Linked DNA regions of Astyanax mexicanus. The protein of the gene in region 1 purifies or fractionates together with the protein of each later gene. This does not show direct contact. Links are inferred from orthologs where the notes say so. Each region holds a gene or a part of one and is shown in the gene's direction. Other genes may lie near its edges.

The links. Proteins that work in one complex are often made in the same cells at the same time.
Region 2: the proteins of alyref (region 1) and complement component 1 Q subcomponent-binding protein, mitochondrial purify together in Homo sapiens (affinity purification with mass spectrometry; 3 studies listed by BioGRID and IntAct, with this or other methods). This does not show direct contact. The link is inferred for Astyanax mexicanus from reciprocal best matches to the Homo sapiens genes ALYREF and C1QBP.
Region 3: the proteins of alyref (region 1) and upf1 purify together in Homo sapiens (co-immunoprecipitation; 3 studies listed by BioGRID and IntAct, with this or other methods). This does not show direct contact. The link is inferred for Astyanax mexicanus from reciprocal best matches to the Homo sapiens genes ALYREF and UPF1.

What each region holds. Positions count from the first base shown.
Region 1 is NW_026040069.1:81,911-92,915, forward strand, and holds alyref (THO complex subunit 4), read left to right. Parts: upstream 1-6,387; 5' UTR 6,388-6,552; coding exon 6,553-6,810; intron 6,811-8,463; coding exon 8,464-8,625; intron 8,626-8,717; coding exon 8,718-8,865; intron 8,866-9,075; coding exon 9,076-9,142; intron 9,143-9,222; coding exon 9,223-9,415; intron 9,416-9,603; coding exon 9,604-9,618; 3' UTR 9,619-10,183; downstream 10,184-11,005. Other genes in the region: mcrip1 (mapk-regulated corepressor-interacting protein 1), read left to right, coding at 1,252-1,367, 1,460-1,555, 4,270-4,325. UniProt on the Homo sapiens protein: Functions as an mRNA export adapter; component of the transcription/export (TREX) complex which is thought to couple mRNA transcription, processing and nuclear export, and specifically associates with spliced mRNA and not with unspliced pre-mRNA.
Region 2 is NC_064408.1:12,095,672-12,105,129, forward strand, and holds the start of complement component 1 Q subcomponent-binding protein, mitochondrial, read left to right. Parts: upstream 1-4,822; 5' UTR 4,823-4,892; coding exon 4,893-5,142; intron 5,143-6,324; coding exon 6,325-6,475; intron 6,476-6,924; coding exon 6,925-7,018; intron 7,019-7,756; coding exon 7,757-7,852; intron 7,853-7,977; coding exon 7,978-8,103; intron 8,104-9,458. Other genes in the region: znhit3 (zinc finger HIT domain-containing protein 3), read right to left, coding at 1,467-1,550, 1,659-1,730, 1,871-1,908, 3,559-3,626.
Region 3 is NC_064411.1:48,583,868-48,593,950, forward strand, and holds the start of upf1 (regulator of nonsense transcripts 1), read left to right. Parts: upstream 1-5,447; 5' UTR 5,448-5,639; coding exon 5,640-5,810; intron 5,811-10,083. UniProt on the Homo sapiens protein: RNA-dependent helicase required for nonsense-mediated decay (NMD) of aberrant mRNAs containing premature stop codons and modulates the expression level of normal mRNAs.

The sequences.
Region 1 (11,005 bases):
GAGTGAATATAATTAAAAACATTTCAATTATCAGAGTTAAATTATATCAGCCCAGTATAGCATTCATTTACACTAATCTTCAATACACAGTGTGCTTTAATAATATCATATTATATAATTCACTTCTGGTGGAATCTACAGTATTTATCTCAGTATATACAGCGTTATTTATCTCAGTATTAAGCTCAGTATATTTTTTCTCAGAGCAGTAAAATATCGCTATGGCAGTTTTTTCCTCTTATTTTAGTTTTTACTGAAATCCGAAGATATAAAACATTTATCTGTTTATTTACTGGTGGGTAATTCAGTACAGTGTGGGTGAAATGGTCCGTCTGATTGGCCGTGGGGAGAACGTGTGAATTGTCTATTGTTTTGTGGTTTTGTGTAAACTGCTGTCGTTTCACTTTATTTCCATCCCTATAGATAAATGTAGGGGTTTCTATTCTTCTAAAGATCAGCAGCTGAGTTTAAAGCTGAATTATCTTTAAACTTTTATTTATTTAATTTTTTGTTTTAGTTTATTTATGCAGTAAAGTTAAATCACACTGGGATCGATTTAATTTTAAAGTGTAAATGGAATCTGGACAAAGTATAAAATCATGTTAATAAAATGCACATTTTCCTTTCTTTATTACATTTTTATTAAGGCAGAATTACAAACAGAAGCGGGTGATAGGTGTTTATATATAGTACATTATATCACAATATTTTTAAAACATCTTAAAAGATTCTTATAATAATATTTATCTCAGCACTGTGACGTGCAGAAATTTACATTAACAGACAAAATTACAGGTACTGTCCCATATGTTTCAAAATGTGCTGCTAATTAATCAGTTAAAACTCATTTTTAATAAAATGTGAAGCAGCTTCTCAGTGTTTCTTCAATGATCTTCCCCTCCTTCACTCCTCTATTCCATTATTTCCCTTCGACCTCCTTTAAGCCCTGAATAAAAAATGTTTTACCTTTAACTTCTTTTACTTTTACTTTTTTTTACTATTGTAAGTCATTTTGGACAAAAGCGTCTGCCAAAGTTAATGTAATTAAATTATTTAACTGATTAAAACGATGTGTCAGAACTAAACACTGTGAATCACTACCGCAATATTTATCACCAGACTATTAATACTAATAATACTATTATTATTATTTATCACAACTAATTAAAACACTTCCCAGCTGATCTGTGAATAATTGTAATTATATTAAATTCTGTAATCTAATAAAATCTCTCACGTCTTGTTTTTCAGCTCCTCTGCTCCCAGAATGCACACCTACAGACGCACCTCCAGCCCTCGCTCTCCCACCAGCACTGGTGAACTCTTCACGCCGGCGCATGAGGAAAACGTTCGCTTCATCCACGACAGTCAGTATCTCCACATCCACCTGGATTAATGATTATTAATTACATTAATGATTAATGATGTTTATAAACTGGCTGTAACTCTGCGTTCTCAGCGTGGCTGTGTGTTCTCAGAGATATTAAATCCCTGCAGAACGGAGAGCGTGGACCTCAGGAGTACGTAGAGAAGAACCCAAACCCTCACCTTCACTGTGAGCAGCTCCTTTAATCCCTGCAGATTAATAATCAGATTATTTTACACCGTTATCGGGATGATCAGTGACTGTTGGGGACTGTTGGGTCGTGGTTTTTACAGTTGGTCAGTAGAATCAGATGAACTCTCACTTTCGTCTGATACGGTTTATACTCAGTGTTGGGAAGGTTACTTTTAAAATGTAATCCCTTACAGATTACTGATTACATCACTCAAAATGTAATTTGTAACGTAATCAGTTACATTACTTCAAGTGAGTAACGTAATCTGATTACTTTGGATTACTTTAAATATTGTCATTTTTTTAAGCCTGAATGAATGTAACAAATAGATAAACAAATAAAACAGCCTTTTCAATCACTCTATAAAAATACTTATGAAACCATTTCATCAAACAATTTTATGAAACACTTCTATAAATTGATGATAAAACCATTTAAAACCAAACAATGTAACAACAACTGTAAGCTATCTACTTGCAGGTTTGCCTCCAGTGTAATTTTGACAACAAATTGTGATTTAGTCTTAGTTATAGTCTTGTGACGAAAATAGCATTTAGTTTTAGTCACAATTTAGTCATCTGAAATGTTTTTAGTTTTAGTCGACTTAATGTCATAAGAATATAGTCGACTAAAATTACAGTAAATTTAGTTGACTAAAATGTAAAGGGTGTAAATGTAAATGCTTGTTCATCAGTTCCCTTGAATTATTAACTCTACACGTATACGAAATGAAACGTTTAATAACCACTTGAGTAATATTGTTAATGTTTGAAAGTGAAATATATTTATATATGATTTAATGTATATTATTATTATTACTATTATTATTGTAGGTGTGTGACTATACATATTTTACATTTAAAATTTAGCTCTAGAAATCAGGTCATAAAACATCTGAATAGTTAAATTATAGTTTAAACAGAGCTGTAGATGCAAAAACTTTTAAAGGATCTAGTTTTATCTCCAGCATTAACCCAGCACACCTACTGGAGCTACAGTCTATAAATGAACACACATTCACACACTGTCCTGTAGAGATGCTCTCAGGATGTACTGAGAGACTTCATGAGTTAAAGTGAGAAACTGATGAGAAAGTGCTGTAAGGAACTTTACACAGACTTTTGGGTTCATAGATTCACTTATTTTATTGTTTTATTTTGGTTATATTATTGAGTTTCTGAGCTGCTCCTGCTTTAACACTAGCTATATCTTTCCCACTGTGAGACTAAACAGATGATCGGATCTTAATGAGTGAGTTCTGTATCAGTTCTGTGTTTTAGTGCACTGCCGAGTTAAACACATCAGCTCATGAAATAACATCAGTATTAAAACGCGGATCTCTGCATGGAGATCTGTGTGACTCTGGTCTGCAGAAGCTGAAAGATTAGTGGTGTTTTTACCGGAGATGGAGTCGCTCCACGCGGTTTACACGTTATCTTGTTTTTCGCGACGTCAAAAGAGAAATATATCGCTGAACTCTGTGGAGTTAACTTCCAGTCGAGCTCCGTATCGACAGTTTAATTCCGCGCGGCGCTGCTGCAGGAGAGGCGGGTACTCCACCTTCGCTAAAGTAGCAGTGATTGGATCTCTTCCTAGCTGGTCCCTACCTTTCACAGACCTAAATTAGTTCTGATTGGATTTCGTCCCTGCCAAACATTTTCGTCTCGTTTTTATTCGTTGACCAAAATGTCAGTTAATTTCGTCTCGTTGTGTGTGCGGAGCCGCTGTCTGCCCCTCCTCCCTGTGTGTGTGTGTGTGCAGCGAGACGGGAGGAGGGGCAGAGAGTTCCCTGTCATATCAGAGCGATTTCACCGCAAAATGTTATTTGCGTTTTGTCAGTGTTGGATTGGAAGAGCAAAAATAGGAAAGTACCGCAATGTAACCCTTTAATTTTAGCAGAGTAACTGTAATCTGATTACCACTTACTGAAGCAGTAACTGTAACGGATTACAGTTACTCATAATTTGTAATCTGATTACGTAACGCCGTTACATGTAATCCGTTACTTCCCAACACTGTTTATACTGATACCGGCTCGTTATAACGGCGCGTAGTTGATTGAGTGTCTGTGTGATAATTATAGTATTAATAGTATTATAGTATTATGTATAATTATATAATTAAATTGTAGAGACGGTCTGAGACGCCAGGCGTTCTCTATCTACTGTTCGGGATCTGGGTCCAGGTTTCTTCTGCTGATCAAACAAACAAAACCGAGTCGCTGCGCTTTCCTCCGAGTGTTAGCGCTGTGATGCTACTCGACAATGCTACATCAGCAGCAGTTCAAAAAGAGGCGGAGTCGGACTTCACATGTATCGGAGGAGGCGTGTGCTAGTCTTTACCATCCTGGTGTTGGGCCATCACTAGTGATGGGTAATTGACAGCAAAATTAGGGGGGAAATAAAATAAAAATTAGAAAAAAAAATTAAATATAAAATATGTTATTTTCTGCCTCTCTCACTTTAGTTTAGAAATCTCATCTGCTGCACTTTCCATTTAAATTAAATGGGAGTGAACTGGGACGAAGTTCCACCTGCAGCAGCTCCTCACTATAAAAGCATCAACACGTTAACCAGACGACTTTAAAAACATCCAGAAGGGTTTTTCAGCTCTGTTGTTATCGGGTGGGAACATGTACATATATTTAGTTAGTAAATGTGTTTTTGTGTCACTGTTAAAGTGTTTGATCTTAATTTCATCTGTGTTTCAGCTTTTACCCCATTTGACCTTGGCGACCTGAAGAAGCGAAACACAGAGAGTTCCTAGATCTTCTTCCCCCCTGTCCTCCGAGATCACCAGCCCCCCCCGTCCCCCCGTCCCGTCCCCCCGTCCTGTCCCTCTGTTACTCCCTCCTGCCCTCGGGACATGGACCTGTCCCCCTCAGTCCGGAGTCTCTGACTCGCGCTCGGGGTAAACTGACCCCCCGCTCTGCCTCCGGACAGGACCCAGTCGAACCCCTGCGCTTTGCTCGGGCTGCGGGTTCGGGACGGCCCGGAGTCGGATTTCAGGGATTCTCTCGGCTCCTGGTTTTTGGTTTTTGGAATTGGATTTTTTTCGTTGTTAAGTGTATTTATTCAGAAACGTGGAGTCGGACAGTGAGGGACAGACTCTGAAGATTCGACGATCTAAAAACCATAAACTCATTTAAACCATGTTACTCTGGAGGGGCAGTTTTTTTTTAGGAATTTAGATGGAAAGAAAGTTTATAGTTTATGGTTATACACGTGATCATACGGACGAGTTTATGATTATAGAGGCGAGTTTGGAAAGCCAAAGGTTTTTAATTAAGAAACTTTTTTTTTATAAATAAATAAAACTTTCAAAGAGTTTAATTACTTTTTCTGCATCATAAATAAAAATAAGCCTTAAAATACAAAAAAAGAGACTTTTATCTCTTTACGTTTCATTCTCCTTACAGCACTGAGACACTGAGAGTGTAAACATGCACTTCATAATCCATAATCTGATTACTGCTGAACAGTTCAACACTAATCAATAATTTATATCAGCCTGGGTATTCTGATAATGAGAGTTCACACAAGTCTAACAATAATCAGTAGTTACATCAATTTAAACTAACATTAAACGCACTGACCCGGATTTATTATATTATAATTTATTATAATTTTCCAGGAGCACAAATTAACCGTGCAGCTGAGGAGAGAAGGTCACTGTCCACAAAAGTCACTTTTTAAGTATTAAATTCTCAGGTGTGTGTGTGCAGTTTGGACAAATCTCCTTTAATGTTTTTCTACTGTGTATATTAATATTTAATAGACAGAAGCTTGTACAACACTTGGAATTGTGGCCCAGACGGTATTTTAGCTGATGATGATTCAGGACTATAGAAACTGCCGCAGGGATCGGTTCTGGTCTGGGGGAGGTAAAGGCAGTTGGAAGAACAATAGGCTGCTTTTCACCTGAGCACAGGTGAGAATAGCTGACCATTCACCTGATCAATTGTCAATGGCTTTCTGAGTCTCTGAGTGATCGCCTTAATAAGATGTGTAAAACAGTCCATCTATCTGAAACACCTTAAAGTGAATAAAGTAACAATAATAAGAATAATACAGCAAATGGGCTTTTTTCTCTGGTTGTGAGAATTCAGTTTGGTCCACAGAAACACAAAAGCTCTAATTCTCACCTGAACTATGATACATATATACTATAATAAATATTGCTATGGAAATTTAGTACAGAATTATTGCGCATATGCTCTCTAATAGAATAGTGTTAGTGTTAATATTGGGTTTAAATTAAAGAATTTTAAGAAAGCATTAGTGAAAATCTTGCATTGTATGATTTGTGTTTATTTCCTTTAAAACCGATGAAAACATTTTCATACCCCTGCTTTATTTGAATTATTAGATTTTTAGAAGTTACGTCTCACAATGTAAAAAAAAGTTCCCCAGTTCCAGTGCTGTTGAACTGTTCCATGTTTATTCACTGTGTATGTATTAAAGTAAGGAAACTAGATAAAATTTTGGTAGTTGGAAGTTAGTTTTTAAACTTTGATAGATTTCTCTTAGTAGAACTCATTAAAAGGGAAAGTTTAAATAACTGTAAAACACTGGAGATTATTTATTGTCAGATTTGCTGCACTTTAGTCACAGTGTTGGAGTAAAGTTAAGATTAAACAGAAATAAATTAACTGGTTTAAAAAACAGGAAATTAAAGCATTAATGATTTAGGCCTGATGTTTTAGTGAGGTATTTATATATGTGTGTATATACATATATGTATCTTTGTTGTTGTTGAGTTGTCTCCGCCCAGCGGCGGAAGTAATGTTGTGCGGAAGTGCGTCACTGTCTCCTTGCTTATAAGCGCGTGAGGGCGGCAGGGAGCAGTTTCCGGTCGGCGGGGCGCGCGGGTGATAGATCCGGGTATCAGCGGCGCGTGATTATAGAGTTTATACTGCGGTGTATACAGGAGTATAGCTGAGTATTAGTGTAGTATATAGCGGAGTATAAGAGAAGTATAGCGCAGGGTCAGCATGGCGGATAAGATGGACATGTCTCTGGATGACATTATTAAGCAGAATAAGCAGCAGCGCGGCGGTGGTGGAGGCGGAGGCCGCGGGGGGAGAGGCGGCCGGGGCCGGGGAGTGGGAGCCGGCGGGGGCCGCGGCGGCAGCGTGGGGAGACTCGGTGCCGGAGGATTCGGAGGCCGGGGCGGAGGAGCGGTGGGGCCCATGCGGAGCCGGCAGAGCCTGGGCCGCGGCAGAGGCGGCAGACCCGCGCCGTACAGCAGGGTAGGAGAATCCGCAGCAGCGGCCGCAGGGCCCGGGCCTAGCTCAGCCCGAACCCGGGCCTCTCCGGAAAAATGTTCCTATAAAATGTGTTGTGCATTATTGTTCTCTCTTCCCCCCCAAAACCAAAACCTCGGTTCTCCCACGGGGTTTAGCTGAGCGGATCCAGCGTGGCTAAAGCGCCCTAACTAGGGCACACAGGCCGGCGCCATTTTGGAACAGCAGCAGCGGGGCGCAGTGAAATGGAGAAATAGTGAAGAAGTGATTGAGAAAAAAGGGAGAAGCGGAGGATCTGCTGCTTTATTCTCCTCCAGAGTTCTGCTCTCAGCGTCCAGGCGGGTCTGGAGACCCGGAGATCAGCGGGGAGACCGGCGGTGTTTTGTGTTTTTTGCGGGAGCTGAAGAGTGCGGATCTTTTGTTCGGAGTCTGATGAAGAGAAACGGCTTTAATTTCAGCCTGAATATCAGATTCACCGCGGATTCTCCTTATGAAGAATGGACTCTTTAATCTCTAAATCTGTGTTAATCTCTGCTGCAGGTTTAGAGTTTATAGGAGATTATATAAACACTTATATAAAGTTAGCTCAGTCAAAATGGCGTGCTCTCAAAATGGACGCTGATCTCTTCAGTTCCTCAAGAGCTTTAATCAGGCAGCACTGGACTCTATTTTTATCTCCATTTTTAATTTTTTGATGGACTGGCTGAATCCACCACCTGTTTCTTCTGGAGATCTGAACTCTGAAGACCTGCAGAGATTTATTTAAAGACTCTGGGGTTTGTTAGTTTAGCAGTTTTAACCTGAGATCACATCAGAAAACACAATCCAGATATTAATCACCAACACAATCTGTATTATAAATACAATTTCTAGTAGTAATGTTTGGTTTGCAGTTATATACACATTCTGATTAGCATATTACCACAGATTTACCTGGAAATACTAGCAAACCTTAGTCAGTTAATCATTTTATTATTTTTTACTCTTTTGCTGGCAGTAACTGGTGTTCTGCTCTTTACTAACACATCTTATTTACTTCCACATCTGCTCTTTTACGTAAACAACCTGAATGACTTTTTGATTTCTAAAAAAAAAATGTATTTCTGTATAAATCATTTTATGGTACTTTTGGTTGCTATATGGTTCAGTGAATCTGTAGTAAAGGCACAGTTTTTGACGAGTAACAGTTAAAAGTTGGGTTAGGACTGTTTTTAATGGTTATTTTAGACTAAAACTGCTTCCTGTATGTTGATGGTAGCCTAGCATGTGGGCAAAAATGGGGCGTAATCATGGGCCAACTGGTTTTGGCAATAACTTTTAAAAGTCACGTTCTGTTCTTATAACTGCCTTACATTTTTTAATCTGTTTATTTGGTTTGAGTTATTCTTTGCATACGTATGAGTTTATTGAGGGCTCTTTTTAAAATGTTTAAAACTGCAGTTTTAGTCAGTGTGTAGTTTTCTCTGTTGCCTCCTTTCCCTGCACTGGCGTACTTGTGTAGTGATGGGGTGGGCAGGGGTGGCTGGAAATCGTGGTGAGCGCCAGATGCGCTGGCCTGGTTGAGGCGGGGCCCTGCTTGCCCCAGCACCCTGCCGAGTGGACAGTCAGTGCCAGCCGGGACCCGAAGTCAGCAGGTGCGTTCTCTTTCGTCTGTTGCAGCCGAAGCAGCTCCCCGACAAGTGGCAGCATGACCTGTTCGATAACGGCTACAGTGCCGGTGCTGGAGGTGGCGGTGGTGGCGGCGGCGGAGCTGGAGTGGAGACTGGAGGAAAACTGCTGGTGTCCAATCTGGACTTCGGCGTCTCAGACGCAGATATTCAGGTACAGTGGTGCAGTAGATTTGGGGGGGGGGGTCTGTATTAAAACGCACAGTCTTGGATTTGAATCCTGACTTCGCTTGTTTTTGTCCGAAGGAACTCTTCGCTGAATTCGGCACTCTGAAGAAAGCTGCGGTGCATTATGACCGGTCGGGGCGGAGCCTCGGCACCGCAGACGTTCACTTCGAGAGAAAAGCAGACGCTCTGAAGGCTATGAAGCAGTACAATGGGGTTCCACTGGATGGTGAGCTTTTTGATTTTATTCTACTTGTTCCTTTTCAGAGAAGCTTAAACCTAAATCAGCCATTTCTTCCTTCTGAGTGAGTTCAGATGTGTTATTGCCCAAAGGTAGAAATGGTTGGTGTAGGGTTTAGTTGGAATTGCTAATCTTTTACAGATTTATTCGCTTGTCACTTATTACGAAGTTTTTAAATGTAATTATTTTTTTCCACAGGTCGTCCAATGAACATTCAGCTGGTGACATCACAGATTGACGCTCAGAGGCGAGCCCCGATGCAGGGGTCAGTACAGGTTCTCCTGCTCTGTCTGAATTAGTGAGGGTTTATTTATGTTCACCTAATAATTTCTGTTTCAATTTTAGTTTGAATCGAGGTGGTGGAGGAGGAGGAATGAACAGGAACAGAACCGGGGGTTTCGGGGGTTTACAGCGAGGCCGTGGAGGTCGGGGTGGAGGACTCCGAGGCCGCGGTAGAGGAGGAGGTGGAAGAGGCAATAACAAACAGCAGCTCTCGGCAGAAGAACTGGACGCTCAGCTAGATGCCTACAATGCCAGGGTACGTAACCTGACTATGGCTCACTCATGTCTCCTTCAGACCCCTAAACCCTGTCTTTGGGGTCAAGCAGTATTTAAGGTGGAATGGAGATTTAAAGTAGTGTTATGCTCCTGAATAAAGTGGCTGGGACAGTGATTTGACGAGGAGTAAAATGAGTTTTTCTGAATTCTGTTCTCTTTTATCCTCAGATGGATACCAGCTAAACCACGCTGACCTGCCGAGCCGTGTTCATGTCTCCTGGTGTGAGATGGTGGTTGTTACAGCTTTGAATATGGTGGACATTTTACACTTAACCGTCTTCAGAAGTGATTTAAACTTGTGTACCAATATTTTCTCCTTTTAAATCTCGTGTTTTTTACCAATTTTTTGTTTTTAGTTTTTTTTTTTCTTCTTTTTTGAGAGAACTTGGTCTGACTGTAGGAGTTGATGGGGGTGCTTGTCTTTACCCTCACTTTGTAGATCGTTGTAATAAAGCCTGCAGTACATCCACAGATTCTAAGCAATGCCTCTTTCCTTTTGTACAGAACATGCAGTTTTAATGTCTGTGTACAGAAGTTACGCAGGTTTGTAAAATCATTAAGACTACTTTGTATACCAAATGTACTGCCTAATTGTGATGAGCAGGCTTGCGTTTTTATTTTATTGCATAACCTGTACTGTTAATTCATGGCCACAGTTTTGTAGTTTAGAGGAATGTTCTAACTTTTCTGTTCTACTTCCTGTATCTCAATCCACTTTATTTTTGTACATAAATGCAATTTTCAAGTCTCATGCTTCAGTTAGCATTTCTTGGTCTTACGGTCTGCTTTTACTTTAAGGAGTTTATTGGTTGGGAAGTGGAAGTACTTGTCACTATTTCCTGTTACTAAATGTTGAGTGTAAATTGTAGTTTGAGTAACATTTTCCACAAAAATTTCTTTAAACTTTCAGTTTGTCAGTTTACACAAGTGAAGACTCTCTGGGGCTTCAGGTGATCAGAATAGGTTTAGTTCTTGGTCTATGGGAAGTGTGTTCAGTGTTCTAGCAGCTTCTAATGTTCAGAACTCTTCACTAATTTTTTAAAGAAAAGAAGGTGGGATTCTTACCTCCAGGAGAAAGATTATTGAAATGTTTCTGTAGCCACTAGAGGTCACCAGCTGTTTTGAATAGAAGCTCTGGTTCTAATACATGGCCTCGAGTGGATGGTAACTCTGTGCATATACCCAATTTCAGACTGATATAGTTTCTGTAGGATTTAAGAACAGCGTCAGACGGGTCTCTTCAAAATGAAGAGTACCTCCCTGCACTATTAGTGCTGGTGTATGCCGGTGTAATTTGCAAGTGGGAATCTGTATAAACATCTGATGTGGGTTACTAATTCAATCAGTGCTTTTTATAAGATCTAAATCTGTGAAATATTTAATTCCTCTCAGTTCTCCTTAAAGGAAAGTCTAAATTAAGTTTGGGCTGTGGTTCTGACCCACATGTTGCACTGGTGTTTACTGGGTTAGATTGAACTGCAGGAATTGCAGTATTTTAAAGATGCTTTTCAGTGGATTATTCTGGCTCTGTACAGCGTCCTGATTCTTACAGGAATCTCTGGTATATAAA
Region 2 (9,458 bases), on another chromosome or scaffold:
TCACAACTATAGACAAACACTATCTAATAGGGGTGTGAAATATTGTATTATCAACATTTCTAAATATTGTGAATGATATTATACCCTGAAATATTGTGCCAGATCACCCACCCCTAATTATCATACCCCTAACCATTTTTTCCTGTTTTTAAGCAAAATAAAAAATAACACTGTTCTCATTTCCCATTATACATCTACTAGAGACAGATTATATCTGTCCAGTATCATTTATTTCACTTTAGTCCTGGATAAATGGAGATATCTGGAGTCCATTATTATTAGTATCATGACATTCTGGATAAAATACTTTTTTTTTTTTTAGGAGTGTGTCATATGTCTTATGCAATAATAAAATACAATTTTTATTTTGTTGCAGTAGTGTATTCTTGAAATTATTTTTTAAATTTAGTGTTTTGTCATATCGCCAAGAGTATCGTTATCGCAAAAATACCATTAAATATTGTGATATTATTTTAGGGCCATATCGCTCCACCCTACTATCTAACTAAACTAATAAAACACAGACAGTTGAATTTCTTGCCTCTTAATGTGTTTGAGAGCATCAGTTGTAAAGTAGTGAAGAGGTAGAGTTACAGGTATACAGTGAATTAAGCTCTATTTGAGTAATGTTCTAATCCAGATTATGAGAAGCAAGAACTGCTCAACTAAGTAAAGAAAAAAAATACTTTTTTTTTTTCTTTATAATTTTCCCATTTTCTCCCCAATTTACACGGCCAATTACCCAACCCACTCTTTAGGACTCCCCCTATATCACTAGTGATGCCCCAACACAACAGGAGGGTGAAGACTAACACAAGCTTCCTCCGATACACGTGAAGTCAGCCACCGCTTCTTTTCAAGCTGCTGCTGATGCAGCATTGCCGAGCAGCATCAGAGCGCACTCGGAGGAAAGCACAGCGACTCGGTTCTGATACATCAGCTCAAAGAGCCCTGTGTTGTGGACATCACCCTAGGAGTGATGTGGGGAGAGAGCGCCATCTACCCACCCGGAGGGAGCAGGGCCAATTGTGCTCCCTCTAATTGATGGTAAAGCTGCATAAAGGTGGTTTGAACCTGCGACCTCCTGCTTATAGTGGCAGCGCTTTAAACCGCTGGACCACTAGGTGCCCGCGAAAAAAATACTTTAAGAAAAATGAAGGTCAGTCAATCCTCAAGTGCAGTCACAAAGACCATCAAAAACATTATGATGGAACTGGCTCTCATCAGGACTGCCCCAGGAAAATGAGAGCAAGAGTCACCTCTTTTGTACAGGATAAGTTTATCAGAGTTACCAGCTTCAGAAACGAGCATTTTGGTTTGTTTAACACTTTTCAATTATTACATGGTTCCTTGTGTGTTCCTTCATAGTCTGGATTACTTTAGTATTCATTTATAATGTAGGAAACACTTTACTGTACCAAATATACAACCATGACAAACTGCCAACTAATTAACCAAAAACATACCTAATTGTTGAAGTCTTTCAAGAGGAACTCTGTCTGACTGGCTGTCCTCATCCAGGAGATCATCAGCAGTCCAGGGCTCCTCAGCTGAAATCACATTTTAATTAATTAATTAATTTTTTAAACAACCAGTTCAGAGTGTGAAACCTGTTTATAATGCTTATTTGTGGTTTCTGGAGCTCTTCACACACTCACCAGTGCTCGCACAGACTTCTGGAAGTGGTGTGGTGACAGGAGGTGTTGTATCTTTCACTTGCTGACAGGAATCTATATAAAACATACAGAAAAGTATTATTCATCAGAGTTAGGTTTAGGGGAACACATGTTACATGTTATATGACCAACTCTAGTAAAGCTGAACAGATCATTTACAGCAAAAATAAACATTAAACCAGAAAATTACTTACCATCAGTTTTGTGTTTCTTAAAGCAACCCAGTGAACAGCTACGATCAAAAAAAGAACACAAACGTTATTATTTGGTTTCAGAGCAGCCAATGCAGAAACAGCTTCTTCCCTCACGTCATCAGGCATCTAAACAGCGCTTAGTCCACCATCCACCTTGCACTTCACTTTAGTTACTTTTCATTTACACTGCATCCACCAACATTGGATTCTCACATATGGATTCCCACATAACCACAGATATAGTAGGCATACATGTGTACACAGTTCCTATATTTATGTCCTGTCTGTTTAAGTCAAAAGTAGACAAAAGGACTTATGGGGCACAGTTTGGGACAAGTCCTTAGCACCTTTAATTTTCTCTTATACCTGCTATTATTTATTGTCTGTATTAATAGTTGTTATTATAGATATGTATTGAGTCACATACATATATCAGCCAAAAGTTTGGACACACCTTCTTATTCAATGTTTTCTTTATTTATTTCTTTATTTAATTTATTTCCTACATTGTAGCTTAATATTAAAGACAGGAAAACAATTAATGGGCACTAGGGGTGGGCAATATTATATCGTATACAATATATCGTGACACAGAAATATCATGATATTAAAAATCCATATTGTGATAATAGGGCTGTTCTGTCTTAAAAGTAGTCTATTATTTACTGTGAAGCTTTAAGTATATTTATTGTATAATTGTTTTAGTTAGCAGTTTATCATCACTGTCCTATGAAAAACACTTATCTCCATTTTTGTTCATTTTTAGTTTACTACATAATTTGAACAGACAAACTGTCCCTTACACTGTGCCAAAATTTCTTAATGCATAGACCAATAGAAACTCTTCAAAATGACCTTAAATAAACTCTTTTTACATTGACTTCCACTGAAAGTTTACAAGGTTTTTTCTGTTTTGGAGATCAGAGTTTTTCATTGGACAGCGACAATATGCATGCACTAAATATTCTGCAATATTTTTTGCTGCATTATATTACTTTATGCTATATTATTTATTTTGCCACATTATGATTATTCTGTTATACTATTATACTATATTCCTGAAATGAATGAATTATTTTAGTTTTCCTATATCGCCAAGTATATCGTTATCGCAAAAATACCCTGAAATATCGTGATATTATTTTAGAGCCATATCGCGCACCCCTAATGGGCACATATGGAATTATGTAGTAAACAGTAAAAAAAAAAAAAAATTGTCCTCCACCTGACCAATCCCCTGATCTAAACCTGATGAACTGAGATGGTGATTTGAGGTGATTTAATTGGGATGAGCTGGAGCTTCACAGCGTTAAGGAAAAGCAGCAACTATTGTTCAGCACCTCCAGGAACTCCTTCCTTTAAGATACTGAGAAAACTTTTTCAGGTGACTCTCCCTCATGAAGACACTGAGATTAAAATACCAAGAGTGTGCAGATCTGTCCTCTAAGATGAATGAGCTACTAAGAATAATCTAAAGTATAAAACATTTTCTGGTTTATTAAACACTTTGTTTACAGAATAATTCAGCATGTGTTCCTGTATAGCTTTAAAATATACTTCAATATTAAATTTACAATGTAAAAGATTAATAAGAAGAAAGAAAACAAAACACACTGAATGAGAAAAAGAGGTGTGTCCTAACTGTTGGGCTGGTACAGTATGGGAGTGTATAACTGTGGTATACTCACTATCTGATCCTGCAGGCTGGGCATCTGTATTTAGGGAGATTTTCACTGCAGATTCCGCACAGCTGCATCACTCCACAACACGCTGCTCAACATACACACACACACACACAGTTTACACCGGAACAGCGCCATTATCATATAATATAACACTGTACATTAAATATTACACTGTTAATACAGCCATATACTCACCCACTTCTCAAATAACTTAAAAAAAGGAGGTTAAATGACTTGAAGTAACTTCAGCCTCTTAAAACACCTCTTCTCTCACTAGCAATGTGGAAACACCACTGAAAAGGGGAGGAGGCACAGCATTTCAAAATAAAAGTTTACAGAAAAAAAATATTTCAGCAAGACCTGACATAAAAGGAAACTATTTTGATATGCCCCTAAAGTCCTATCATAATTATTTAATTTAAATTAAATGTATTACTAGTAAAGACATCTAAAAAAAACCCTAAAAACTAAGAACAAATAGTGAATAGCGTTTATATATATATATATATATATATATATATATATATATATATATATATATATATATATATATATATATATATATATATATATATATAAACATTTTTCAGATTTTTGATGTTTTATCATTTTTCTTGCTTAGGATGAAAGGATGATTTAATCCTTTATTCTTTTATATTAATCAATTATATTTATTTCTTACAACATGTTATCGAATTATTTAACAAATTTTACATATGTTTTAATTTAATTTAGCAATTTATTTATTACATTAGGGACTGGCCTAAGCTTCTGTTGCCCCAGCTGAAAATTAAGTACTGATTTCGTTTCTTTTATTATATCTGTATATGCAATGTACACAGTACTAGTCAAACGTTTCTCATTTTATGTTTTTATTTATTTTTCTATAAGTTATTTTCTACCTTGTAGATTACTAGTTAAGACATCAAAACTCTGTAGCAACACATATTATGAAATTAGTTTTTTTTACTTTAATTTATTTATATTATATTTTTTGTATTGTTATAGATTTTTTTGCTTGTTCAAAATGAATTTCACTTTTTGCCAAACTTGAAATATTTAATAATGTGATGCCTAAACATTAAATTATGTATTTTATGAATATGATATTTTTAATGAATTACGCTGTTAAATATTTAAAGTTAAAAGTGAGACACATATAATTCAATTATACAATAAAACAGTGTATATGTGAGCAGTGACTTTGAAACTCAGAGACTTTTATTTTGAAAAGAGCCCTGTGATCAGCTCCGGCTTCGCACTCGGCTCCGTCCCCTGTCCTTCCCCACGTGTTTCCAGGCTATTCAGTCCTTCACTCTGCTGGAGATCAGGCCGCCATGCTGAAGTCCCTGAGCCGTGCTGTGAGCGTCGCCGCTCGGCTTTCTACCAAAGCCCCGGCCGCCAGGGCCGCGCTGGCGAGCCCGGCCCTGTGCGCTCCCAGCTCGGCCTCCACTCGGCCTTTTACCCGCTCCATCTGGATGCTGTGCAGCAGTAACGGCGCGACCTCGGGCAGCAGGCCGAAGCTTCTGAGCACGGAGCGGGGGCTGCCGGCGGTGCCCTGCGGCTGCGGGGGTCTCCACACTGAAGGTAACCTGTCTAATTTATCTGAAGGGGGATTATCCGCTTATATAACGCCGTGTGTCTGGTTTCATCAGCCGGTTAAAGAGAGACACAGAGGAGCCTGGGGCCAAGGCTGGAGAGGGAGCTGACTTATTATCTAGTTTATCTTTCTATAACTAAGATTTACTGTAATACTATGAGATATATAAATATAGTAGCTATTATATAGTCTTAATTTTGGTTTGCCTCTCATAAATTGGACTATACTTCTTATTTTTTATACTTTAATTAGATCTAACTAATGTAATATACTTGTAGTATACAGAGACAGAGCGTGACTGTAAATGTTGGTGTATGAGTTTGACAGCTACCCAAGTTAAAAGGATATTATATCTGGTTATTTGGGTTAATTCTATAAAAAAACTAAATGTAAATGAATGGTACTGAATGTGTGATTCTACTTCCGTTCATTTCTACAAGGAATGTGACCTTGATGAAAGTCAGAGCAGGGTTGAGGTTGAGTACTGTAGGTTAACTTGGATGACCATCTCCATCCAGATCAAGAACTTTTGAGTGGAGGGCATATTTAAGGATCCAGTTTAAGGTGCTTTATAAAATTAGTAACTGTAAAAAGTACAGTAAGGTAAATAATTATTTGATCCCTTGCTGATTTTATAAGTTTTCCCACTGAAAAAGACATGAACGGCCATTATTTATTTTAGTCAGAACAAAAAATTTAAGGGTAAGTTATTTTTAACAGAGAAAGAAAGAATATCAAAAATAAAATCCAGAATTATAAATATAAATTGTATAATTTTTTATTGTATTTCGTAGGGAAAAATATTGCGTATGTTATCCCCTAAAAACCATTAAGAGTTTTGGCTCCTACAGACTAGTTAGACGCTTCTAATGAACTCCTAATTACCTGCATTAAAGACATTTTAAAAGCCACAAGCTGTACAACATTTTGCTGATTTCTAAAATGAAACAACCATGCAATAATTATTGCATATTAACTATTCTTTTCCAATTATTTACACATGTACATTCATGTACATGATTTGTTACATCAAAATATTATATAATATAATAATAATATAATATAAAATTATTAAAATAAAAAGGAGCTAATGTCAATGCTTCTTGTCATTTTTAATAGATAAGCATTTTTTTATGTGTGGTGGTGATCATCCCTCTCTTCTCTTCCAGGCGATAAAGCGTTTGCAGAATTCCTCTCAGATGAAATTAAAGAGGAGAAGAAGATCCAGAAAAGTGCAACTCTTCCCAAAATGTCTGGAGGATGGGAGCTCAAACTCAACGGCACAGAGGCGAAACTCATTCGCTCCCTTTCTGGAGAGAGGTACGATTTTTATGAACAATTATTAAAATCATGATTGCATATAAAATGTCATTCAGGAGATCATGTGGTTTGAATCCAGGTCATGCATCTTGCCATCAGCTGCAGGAGCCCTGAGAGAGTTTGTCTTGCTCTCTCTGGGTGGATAGATGGCGCTCTTTCCCCTCATCACTCCAAAGGGTGATGTTGATCAGCACAAGGTGTCTGTATGTGAGCTGATGTATCAGAACCTCCTAGTGCGCTGTGATGCTACTCAGTAATGCTGCATCAGTTAGAAAAGAGGCGGAGTCTGAATTCACATGTGTCGGAGGAGGCGTGTGCTAGTCTTCACCTTTCTTGTGCTGTGGCATCACTAATGATAGGGGATATACAGCTGAGTAGCAGCTGAATGGATTGGATATTTGGACTAGCCAAATTGGGATCTTAGACTTACAGATTTATTTTTCCCTTAGGGTGACCATCACATTCAACATTAACAACAGTATCCCCCCAACCCTGGAGGAAGAGGAGGAGCCAGGGCATGGACAGAAGGCAGAGGAAAAGGAGGTAAAGCATCCTTCCATTTTTCACACTCTAAACTTATTTACAAATGGTTACCAAATTCCAATATATATATATATATATATATATATATATATATATATATATATATATATATATATATATATATATATATATGTATTGGTAATGCATGAATGTATGTTGTTTTTCTGCCATTTACACCACATTCTTGCATGGTGTTTTAGGTCTTTCCCCAGTATACATGCACAGATTACAGCACCATCATTTCTGACTTGTGCACTAAAATAAACCCCTATGATTTTTAATGCAGTTAAAACTAGAAGCCACAAACAGAAGCATGAAATTATTGCAGCTTGTTTCTGGAAGAAATTTGCTTAATAATTAGATTTTCCATTCCACCTTAAATGAAAGAATAGTCACATTCTACCACCTTAAAGTATCTTTAAGGGTAGATGAGAAAACAGTAACAGCACACAGATGCGAACCAAAATAGTGGATATATATATATATATATATATACACACACACACATACATGCACACTAAAAAAGACACTATAAGAGCATTATTTTATTATTTTGATTGTATTTTTTATTTGTGTCTTATCTTATTCATTCTTTTTTTTGGAACGTCTGTGTACTGTGTATACGTGCTGCTACTGAATGTCGAGAATTTCTCCCAGCAGCTTTTATATTAAACACGGTTCTAACAAATCTTTAATTTGATGTTTTGCTTCTTTTGTTGTTTCTTGCTTGTCTTTTAGCCTGAAATCGTCTCGACACCTAACTTTGTTGTTGAAGTCCTGAAACAGGGGGCAAAAAATGCCCTGGTGTTCGACTGCCATTTCCCAGAAGATGAGGTAAGACCTCTTAACTCCTGAACACTCAGACTCTGCTGGTTAAACCAGTCTAAGGTTAATATACAGTACAATACTGAGTGCTGTGTTGAATATTACTATATCTAAAGTTGTTTGTGCTTGAGCAGATCGGTCATGGTAAAGGGCAGGAGGAGAGCGATATCTTCGCAATTCAGGAAGTGAGTTTCCAGCCTGAAGGAGATGAAGACTGGAAAGAGACCAGCTACACCCTGAACACAGACTCTCTGGACTGGGTAAGAATACACCTGAGTGCCTGTAAATTACTCTTTAGCTTGTATAGATCTGGTTAGTGTGCCCCCTAGAGGCTCAGTCCCAGCTCCCACAAGCCAAAAGAAACAAGACATCCTTATATGTCCAAATTTGTTTGGTTTAAATAAACTGATACACAGAACATAGATAAGATGATCCAACAAACATCATCAAACTTCCAACTCTTTTATTTTTTCTTTCATTTTGTTTGGTATGTTTGTTAATAAATCGTTCCTTTTAGATACAGCTCTGTGGCATCCCTGGTACCATTTTTCATAATATGTAAAGAAAATGCATTTTTTTTTTATTAATTTGTGTTTTGGACATCTAACTCTGGCTGTTGATTGGCTTTTAAAAAAATAGATTGACCTCAAAAAGTGGTCATGTGATTGGTTTTAATTTAAATTGATTGACATGGCCACCACCCTTTGCTTACGCCCAATGGTTCTACAGCCTTCACTACTGAAATTCTGTCCTCTGGTGCTCAAACAATGCAACTGCATGTACTTTTTCTAGAAACAGAAAATGTAATTTTCAGTTTCACCCCTATTGCAGTTATAAATAATGATGTTTTCGCTGGTGGTTGTATTAGTGGATGCAAAAAGCCTGTTACTGGTTTCAATATCTCCTCCTACTCCTTTCTAAGCCCCGCCTCTACATGGTCATTTTTGCGCCCCTGAATTACAATTTTCAAACATGCCAAAAGTGGATAAACTCTTTAAATAAAAGAATTACAGTTGCTAAATTATGTCACACAAAGGTTGATAAAACATCCTAAAACCAGAATATAGCTTACAATCAACCAGGAAGCACTAAGTTATATAAAAGAGACTAATCTTAAAAAAGAAAAAGTGGGATTAATTTCAGACAGGGTTCGTACGGTCATTGAAAACCTGGAAAAAAATATGGAATTTTTGAAAATAGCAATTTCCAGGCCTGGATAAGTTTTGGAAAATTAAAAAAAACCCAGAAAGTGATGGAGAAAATCTATTTTGAGCCAACAAATACGTCAGCTCAGGGTTAATTAAGTAATTTAGCCCTACACAATGGAGCCTTCAGGATCTGACACAATTTATCATTTAAGATTGTCAACCTTTTTATCAGATTCATTTAAGACCTACTATAATCAATTTTAATTGTTGTAGTTGATTTCTTGTTTTACTGTGCATGTTTGCACTGGTGTTTTAAAAATCATTTGGTCATGAAAATTTGCCTTGAAGGCGTGGAAAAGTCATGAAAAAATCATGGAAATGTATTGGTTAAAGCGTGTATGAACCCTGTACAGAATTCGTGTTAATTCATAAATTAAATTGATTGATCCTTATAAATAATTAAATCT
Region 3 (10,083 bases), on another chromosome or scaffold:
CCTTACACCTAGCATTGCTGGGGCCAAATAGGAACGGACGGCACTTTAGGGGGTATAGTCAAAAGATGCTGAGACTGAGTCGTGGTGCTATGTATAAAACAAACTATTTTTGAATTGGCGTGAATGAAAACAGAGGAAGTAAAGGCTATGTATATAATATTCACACCTCGGCAGCTTTTTAATATACCCCGGTCACACTATGAACAGAAGGCAGTTGAGTTGTTTTGCATATATCATTGCTGTCACATCAAAACCCTTGTATTTCCATTGTGTTTATTCTATTTTAAAATCAGTATTTTTCAGTCTATAAGGTGCACCGGATTATAAGGCGCACTATCAATGAACGTCTTCTAGTCTTTTTTCTAGTCTTGGCAGCTCTAGCTCTAGCCACAGTTAGCAAGCGCTTAGCCAGTCTCAGTTAGCAGCACTAGCCAGCCCCGTTTAGCAACAATAGCCAGACATGGTTAGCACTAGTAAATGCTGCCCAATAGTGGTAAACTGAGAAACCCTGAGTGTTCCGGTAACCCAGGGCACACTCAGCTATCGGTTCATCCCACATACCTTGTTTTAACACAGTAAACTACAGTCGAATATACTTACCCCTGAACAGCGAAAGAGCTAGTGCTGCAGTTAGCAGTTAATGCTAATACTGCTCCAGCCCCAGTGCTGGAGAAACTTTACTGAAACTCCTGTTTAATGCTGCACTTTAGTTAATACCTGACTGGTAAAATTCATACATAAGGAGCACCGGATTATAAGCACTGAATATTTGTGGGAAAATTAAAGAATTTTTACTGCGCCTTATAGTTTTATAATAAATAAATAAGCTAAATTCAACAAATATGTAGAAATCGATCTACAACAATTATATGATCTTAATTAGATATTTTAAAAACACTTAACAACTATTGCACAGCTATGAAACAGAATTCAACAATGCAATTAATTGACTTATAGCTAGTAGTAGTAATTATATGGTCCGCATCCGAGTGAATCACTGTATTCACACTTGCCCAATTGAACCATAGTCCCATTTAGGAAGACAAAAAGTGTGAGTGTAAAAAAAAAAAAAAAAAAGAAAAGGCCCTTAAAATTAAGTGTGCCACCTGTATGTTACATTAGCACACTACAGCACTTTGAATTAAACATGAGCCTGGACTATCCTCCCAGTTAGATCATTATATTCAGGGGTCAGGCTTTTAATGTAAATTTATCATTTTGGAGATACAAGATTTGATGTGACGGTGACAATAAAAGTATTACACATTTTATTTTCAGTTAAAATGAGAAGCTGGAGTGTTCAGCTTTAGCACAGACACTCATGTTAATACTGAAAGTGAAAGCACGTGTTGTATTTGGTGGGAATGAGTAACAAGTGGGTTGTGCACTAAAAGAGTGGGCTAAACAAGTGGGGGTAAGGATAGAAATGTCAGCCTGTACAGTGCCTATGGCAATGAAATATTAGCTAGCTCTTAAAAGTTATTAGATGTTCTAGGGATGCACCGAAGTAAAATGTTTGTGCCTAAACCGAAAAAAAAAGACATTTTTAAGTTTGCTGCTTTTTACAAGTAAAAATATTAAGTAGACTTGCTTTTCAAAGACACACTAAAGATTTTAAATATCCCAGCAGACAAACCAACCAAGAACTACACTTTACCTCAGTAGTGCTATTCTGGCCATACATTTATTTCAGCAGTGCTGTTCTAGCAAGTCATAAACTTAAATTAACATAAATTTCTAACTAAGTAATTATCTTAATATATAATTATATAATATATAATTATATTTTTATATATTATCCCTGTAGTTTGCTCACTCTCTACACATCAGCTTTGCTTTAAAAAATCCTAACATTAGAGTAAACACTGCCGTTTTACTTCAGTGTACCTTCAGTAAATTATTCTGTTTTTATTTTTTTGTCTGAACACCTAAAGTGCTTTTTATTTGCCATTTTTGGCTGAATTCTTTCGGTTGCCAAATATTCTGTGCATCCCTAGTAGTATCTTTTTTTTATTATTATTAATGATGTATTTGTAATACATGATCATGGTCAAAGCACACTGCTTTGAAAATCCTGTTGCCTTCTGCTTTTATCAAGGGTCTTCTGCCAACGTTGTACACAGCTAACTCTTCAGGGCTACTACAGCTAACTGTCAGCCAGCTTTCCTGTGATAAATGAAACTGTGAAATCAGGGTTGACCTTTATAACCTGTTGTTTGTCATCTCTCAGTGACCTTTTTCCACACAATGATGTCAGAGTTCACATTCTCAAGCATATATATCACTGCTGTCTTAATAAATAAGCATCTCCAAATTAATGTATATAATGCTCTTAATATTTAAATAGGAAAAAATATAAATTCAGAATTTCTGCATAATTCAGTTCAATGATTAAGATATACACAGTCATTCGGAGTGATATGATGTTAAAGAGAGACTTATTATGACTTTGCAATAGTAAGTACAGTGTGATTTGAATTCCAGTGGTTTTGATTTAACACAGCATTTATCAAAATCAAAACGCAAATCACACAAATGTGTATGTTGTATAAAATTGGATAATTCCATTCAAAACTGAAATATAATATAATATGCTGAAAATAATATATAATATAATATATTTGTTGGTTAGTAGATATGGTGCAATCACGTTTAACACCTATAAAATTCAACACATTCTTCAATAACATATCAGGGTTATGCAGTGTTTGTGTTGCTGAATAATAAGCTAATTAAAATATTAATGTATTAAGGTATTAGCATGTTTGTGTTTATTAACTCACACAACCACTGTGAAGAGTTCTGACCTGGGAATCAAGCATTTGACACTCTGAATGTCTTTTGGTATATATCTTAATTATTTAATTATGCAGAATATATTACCCTTAACTTTAATGTGAGCAATTCCTATCTCTATTTCTATTTCAGTTTATTGAACCGTTTTATATGACCGCAATGATATTAGTAAACTTATGGGCCTGAATTGTGCCTATATAAGTTATAGAAATATTATAGCTTTAGGAAAGTTTTAGTTTCAGGAAATCCTGGAAGTGGAAGAATTTACTTTTATTTACTTAATTTTCAGTCTATTTTTTTTTAAAGGAGCATTTTTGTTTATTTGTTTGTCTGTTTATTAAAGAAACACTGGACCAATCTGGAACTGTGAAGCTGGTTGCTCCAGTTTATGATGTCTACCTACCAACAGTCTTTCTCATCATGTCACGTTTAACCTGTGGAGTGGTTTGTTATTTTCAGCTGTGAGAAAAAAAAAATGCTTGTGAACGCTTTATTGGAATTAAATGGATTTTCTGCAGGAAAAAATGTGATTTGATCTACGTCATGATAAATAAAGACACTGTTATTTAACAAATGACACACAGAGTTCAATTCAATTTTATTTCTATAGCGCTTTTTACAACAAAGCTGTCACAAATCAGCTTTACAGAGAAAAACAGGTCCACGCCCCTTCCGAGCAGCACCACAGAGATGCCAATTTTTATGGTGACACAGTGGCAAGGAAAAACTCCCTTTAAGAGGAAGAAACCTTGGAAGGAACCAAGACTCAATCAGAGGACCCCATGCTACTTGGGTTGACCCGCTTTACATGTTTCATAGCTTGGCCCAAAGTTTACCCTGAAGTTATAAAGGGTGTTGCAGTCATGACTGTAGACTGTTTTTTTTCATGCAGCTAGCATTCTTAAAGGCATGGTTTGTTTCAGGTTAAGAAAATGTTGGAAAAAGGTAAGATGAAAATGAATTGTTTCTGGTTTTAGTACATATACCACACAAATGTCATAAAATACAAGAAACATGAATTTGACAGAAAACATTTTAATGCATTTTACCCGAATCACAGTTCCTCACTGCACATTAGGCAATTTGGGATCACACTTCTGAGTGTGAGAAAAAAAAGTAAATCATTTCTGCACTCTGCTGTGAACATTTTATTATTATGTTTCTAGATTTCATGCCCTTAACTACAAATGTTCAGTATACTAGGTACTGAATATTTTTTTAAAAATGTGATCGGGACATACCTAACTACAAATCCAAACCAAGTCTTAATGAACATTTGCTTACCTAAGGGCTGGGCGATATTATAAAAATGATTTTTTTTAATATTCTTCATTTACAGCAATTCTCAACTAGTTCTAACATAACTTCAGTATTTTGTGTAAACAGTGATTCGCAAGCCATTGTTTTCATTGCATTAAAACAGCAATTTCGATTACCCAAGTTAATTTGATTAGCTTACCCCATTGGCAGATTTTTTTTTTTAATATAAGTATTTACCTCTCAATATAGATAGATTTTGTATAGTTTTGCCAATGGATTTTTTTGCAGTCTATGTTTGATTATTAACTGCTTTAAATCCGAAACAAGTGGCATCAGCATCGTCTTTTCCCTTTTTTCTTTTTTTTTTTAGTTTTAAATCTTCTTCTGAATTAAAATTCACATGATCAATCCAATCAGTAGCAAAACATAACAACAAACATAAACATACATATAAATAATAAATGAGAGGGACATTTATGAAAATATTCATAGGGATTTGCAAATATTTGCAGCCTTTCTGTTTGTCCAATTTGTACTCTATCCAAGTATAGTTTGAACAAATGAAATTATGGAGTTTCCTTTCCTCGATTTTCAGATTTTTCCATTTTTGTATCTTGTATCACAAATCTGACCGTATAATCCAACTAATTTTTGTTACAAGATGTAAAAAATGGAAAAATTCAAAAATAAAGTTTTTTTCCCTAAAATTCTGATTGTGAGTGGCAGAGAAGGAAAACTAAGCATTATAAAAATTGAGTGAAAACTTATTTCTTCTACACTGTACTAAATGTGAAAAATAAATAATGAGTTTTTACATGCAAGTTAATTTTTTTTGCATCTAGCCTCAAACGGTCAGAAAATTGAATTAAGTAACGTTCCACTGACCGTGTAACACAAATCTAATGGTATAATCCTTACAAAATGCAAATTTGAAAAATCAGAAAATAAAGAAAAGATTCCTTTTTAATTTTTCTTAAAAACCCGATTGTGAGGTGCAGAGAAAACTAAAATGGGAAAACGTATTTCTTGTACACTAAACTACATACAAGTTAAATAATTCGTTTTTACATCTAATTTTACATTGTTTGCATTTAGCCTGAAACTTATCAATAAACGTTGCACTGACCGTGTAGAACAAATCTGATGGTATAATCCTTGCAAAATGCAAAAATGTGAAAATAACGTTTGTTTATTTATTTATTTTTTTATTATTATTATTTATTTTTTAGCGGCATTTAGCCTCAAACGGTCAAAAATGTAATTAATAACTATTTATTTTATTAGTGCTATGATAAATGTCTCTTCTCTGAAAATGTGTGCAGGTCTGTGTGGACGTCACGCGCCCGCCCTGCGCTCTACGCCAGCAGCTCGTGCGCTGCTTGGTGCTTACGTCGCCGTTTCGAGTGGGAGTTGGAGCGAGTGTGCTTTCATTTGAGAAACGTCGTTCTGCTCCGAGTTTAACGGAAAACGGGCTCCGCGCACGGACTCGGGCTGCGTTTCTGCACGTTTTTCAGCGCGCTGGTCTCGGAGGGGGTCGGTTTGGAAGACAGACGCCGCCGGTCACGATACGAATACAGGAGAATATGAGCGTAGAGGCGTACGGGCCGAGCTCGCAGACTCTCACCTTCCTGGACACGGAGGAAGCGGAGCTGCTGGGAGCCGATACCCAGGGCTCGGAGTTCGAGTTCACCGACTTTACCCTGCCGAGCCAGACCCAGACACAGGGCCAGACCCAGAGCCAGCTGGACAACCAGGTCTCTAACTCCCATTCCTCTGCGTTTGGTGGAATATTAGACCGCGAGGTGGAGTTGGCGTGGGGGGAAAACGGAGCTGGCTAGCGGAATTAACGCTAAGCTAACCTGTTAGCTAACCTAGCTAGCGGGCTTGTTTATTTTCTGCGTGTTAAAAAATAGCGCTTTAGCTTAGCTTAGCTTCGTTAGCATCCAGGCTAGTTGGCTAACCTAGCCTAGCTAACCGTGCCCGTGTTAATAATGGCGTAACCTAGCTACCTACGTTAGCTTAGCTTAGCTAGCTAACGCGCTTTTAGCCTCGCTGACATTTATTACAGCTCTGGAAAAAAAATACCACTTCAGTTTGTGAATCAGTTTCTCTGAGTTTTGCTATTTATTGGCATAATATTTAGTAAAATGAAAAATGTTGTTATTCTATAAACTACGGACGATATTTCTCCCAAATTCCAAGTAAAAATATTGTCATTTAGAGCATTTATTTGCAGAAAATGAGAAATGGCTGAAATAACAAAAATATGCAAAGAAAACCAGTTCATATTAGTAAAGTTTTAAGAGTTCAGAAATCAATATTTGGTGGAATAACCCTGGTTTTTAATCTCAGTTTTTATGCATCTTGGCATGTTCCCTCCACCAGTCGTACACACTGCTTTTGGATAATTCCTAATGCAAAAATTCAAGCAGTTCAGCTTGGTTTTATGGGTTGTGATCATCCATCTTCTTCTTGATTAACTTATTCCAGAGGTGTTTAAGTGGTCGCTTATTTTTTCCAGAGCTGTAAACATAGTTACCTAGCTAAGATATACTTTAGCGTAACACTATATTCTAAACACTACTAGCTGGACTAATACAAAATATCATCTATTTATTCCTGTTATTTAGGTTTAAACTGCATATCAACGCTCTAACTTTCAGCTAACAGCTAGCTTTTTGGCTGGTTTGGCTAAGCAGTCAGCTTTTGGCAAAAGTTAGCCAACGTTAGCTAACGCCACAACCGCTGGCAAAGCCATGCTAAGCTAGCTAGCCTAGATAGCTAACTAACAAACCACCCTAGGCTACAGGTAACAAACTAGGAACTCCTCGCTCCAATATAATTTCAATTTACACTTAAAATTAATTTAAAGCATTCTTTCTCATGTTTACTCCTGCAGAACATAAGTAAACAACCATTACTCATTTTAACCCATAACATCCCAGACCCACTTCTCAATATTGATGCCAAATTAAATTTAGTCAAGTAGTTAAATTCTTTTTTCATGTCTTTTAATATTAATCTAATTTACAATGTATTACATATGTCCAGCACTCTACTGGAAAATTTAAGTTTTATTTATTCTATTTCTTAAAATAATGTCTTATGTTTTCCCTTTTATTTTAATGCCTTTTAGTGTTAATCTTAATATTAATAATAAATAAATTAAGAAAAATATTGAATTTTTACCAGACTTTTTACTATTACTGTATTTATGTAGCTAATTGTATGTATTTGAGTGTCGAAAAAGAAGAATTATATATTTTTTGGGGGAGGAAAAAATATAATATTTGGAAGCTTGTCAGTCACTGTCGATATAGCAAACTCAAATTTAAATTTTGACTTTATAACACGCTTGTAATTTGAATCGGGTGTTTTAGATAAAGAAAGCACCCAAAATGCAGGGTAGTAGGAAGAGGTTTTCAGGAGCAGAGATGAAAGAAAACCACTGCTTTAACATGATTAACAAAAGTGGTCTAACTGCAGAAGAAAACAATATTTTTAGTAAGTTTACAAGAAAAATGTAAGAATACTAACAGCCAAATGTACATGTTCCTGCACATATACATAGTTAGAAACCCCTTGTACACATCATTGTTTTGAACATAGATATGCTATGTAACATTATATTAAAAATACATAAGGTATTGTATGGCATGGAAAGGTGCAATAACCGAAAATTATGCCATAGATGGTTAATGTAGTGTTAATGGACTATGTTTTTTCCTTGAATCTCATTTTAGTTGATAATTTTGCAGATTTCATGCCTTTATTTACAAATGTCCAGTTTACCGGATACTGAATATTGAAATGCATATTTAAAAAAAACTAACATGCAACATTTATTTATTTTATTTTTATTTATGTACATTTTATAATTTTAAAGACTGCAATGCATATCATTCAACACAAATGTTTTAATTTTTTAAAGTGGCTAAGGAGGTGGCAAAGCTACATTAGCTATAAGTTAGCCAGCCAGCAAACCTACCAAGTCTATAGGAGAGAATTTCTAAATATTTCTCTAGCTAGGTTTAAAGGGGACATGAAACACTTCAAGTATTTAGTTTAATTCACAAGATGTATTTTCACTCTAACAAATTTTAGAAGTTTAACAGTTGTCAGTGAAGCGGAATTAAAATAATAAGCAATCTAAATGTCATTTTTTTAAGTAAGGGCAGCGCCATCTTGTCCCAGCGCTGAAAGTGACGTCACGAGGTTGGTTCTCGCACGCCTCACTACTATAATCTATGAGAATACCGTAATTTAGCTCCTCAATAAATAATAAAATCCAAACCAAAACTCAATGCAGAGCGGGGGGGCACTTTTGTATTGCCCCTGTGTGTAGTAATATTGGGAGTAGTGAAATTTAATAGGGTGAGGAATGAGAAATATTTACTTTCACTTTCATACCCTCGCAGCGCTGAATCGTGAGAATCCTCCGGTTATCTGCAACGCTAGGGGTTAGTGGCGAGCACTTTCTAGACCAGGACTATGTGAAGGAGAGGGGTTTGAGTCAGGAGCATTAGCGCCGGATAAATAAGCTGCAGTCCGAGGCTTTTTTCCTCCGTTTTTTATTTTTCCTCTGATCAGCTGAGATGTACAGACCGTCTGAATGGGTAACGTTACTATGAGAGCAGCAGCTGTGAGCCGCACCAGCCAAACAACACGCCCACCCAGCAGAGCAGCGAGAGGTACCGTTGCCGAAAATCTAGATAAAATGACAATTTAAAGATAACATAGCTAGCGTTAGCTACTTAGCTAGCTATCTTATTCTAGCTAGCCAACGCTAGCTAACTAGCTAACACTAACTAGATGAAGCTAAGTACCCAGTAAGCATTCTAACTTCTAAACTGAACGGTTTATCAACCAAACAGCGCCTTGGTGTTTCAATATCCACTTAAATCATGTTCGTTTCATTCAGTCTTAATGAACTCTGGACTTTGCATGTTAAATAGCTAAATGTATATAAACTAGCTGGTTAACTGGATGGCAGTACCTGCTGTGGACGTGCTGCAGGGTTCTGCACGGCTCCACGTAGAGAGAGAATAAACACTCCCAAAACGTCTCGCTCTCAGAAAAGCATCTGAAAAGTTCTGCTCAGGTTTATACAGGAAAGATCTCTGAGCAAATGCTCCATGTTAGCCTAGTTCAGCTTCGTCTTCATCCATAATCTCGACAAACAATACGCTCTTTTCCTCTAGCTATATGCCTGGGATCTTAAACCAACCAACCTCGTGACGTCACCAGTGCTGCACGGGCAACATGGCGGCGCCCTAGCTCAAACGTAACAAACATAAATATATTATAATTTAGTGTGTAAACATTTTATATAAAAAATTCCCCCCAAATAAATTCCATTATATTTAATCCCTTAGAAAACTTGTACAAACTGAAATGTTTCATGTCCCCTTTAATAGCATCTATTTATTGTTATTTTGGTTTAAACTGTAGGTTAACTATTGGTTAGCTTTTCGGCTAAGCACTCAGCTTGACAGAAGTTAGCACCACAACAGCTGACAAAGCTAAGCTTGCTAACCAAACTAACCAGCAAACCAAGCCTACAGGGGAGAAATTTAGACTCTTTACCACAGTGACTGAACTGGCTTTCCAATATACCTTTAGTTATTATTCTAGTTAAACTATCAGTTGTTTCCCAGCTTTACCTGTGTAGAACAAAAATAAGGCACCTTTTAACCCATAAGAGCCCAGACTCACTTCTAAACGTTGATGCCAAATTAAAAATGTAATCAGATAAATTCAGTGAGCAGCTCATCGAATCTTTCTACACCATATCATACCTTATTTATTTATTTATTTATTTAAAAAAAAATATCCTATAAAAGCCCAGACATACTTCTTCTTTTTTTTTTTTTACTACATAAATCCATATGTATCCCTCAGGTGTTATCAGGTATTTAATATTAATCTACAGTGTAGAAAATAAGTAACCTGCCAACTTTTGATTGGCATTGGTACTGCTGTACGTATGTAATTGTATGTAATTGTATGTATTTGGGTGCCAAAAAC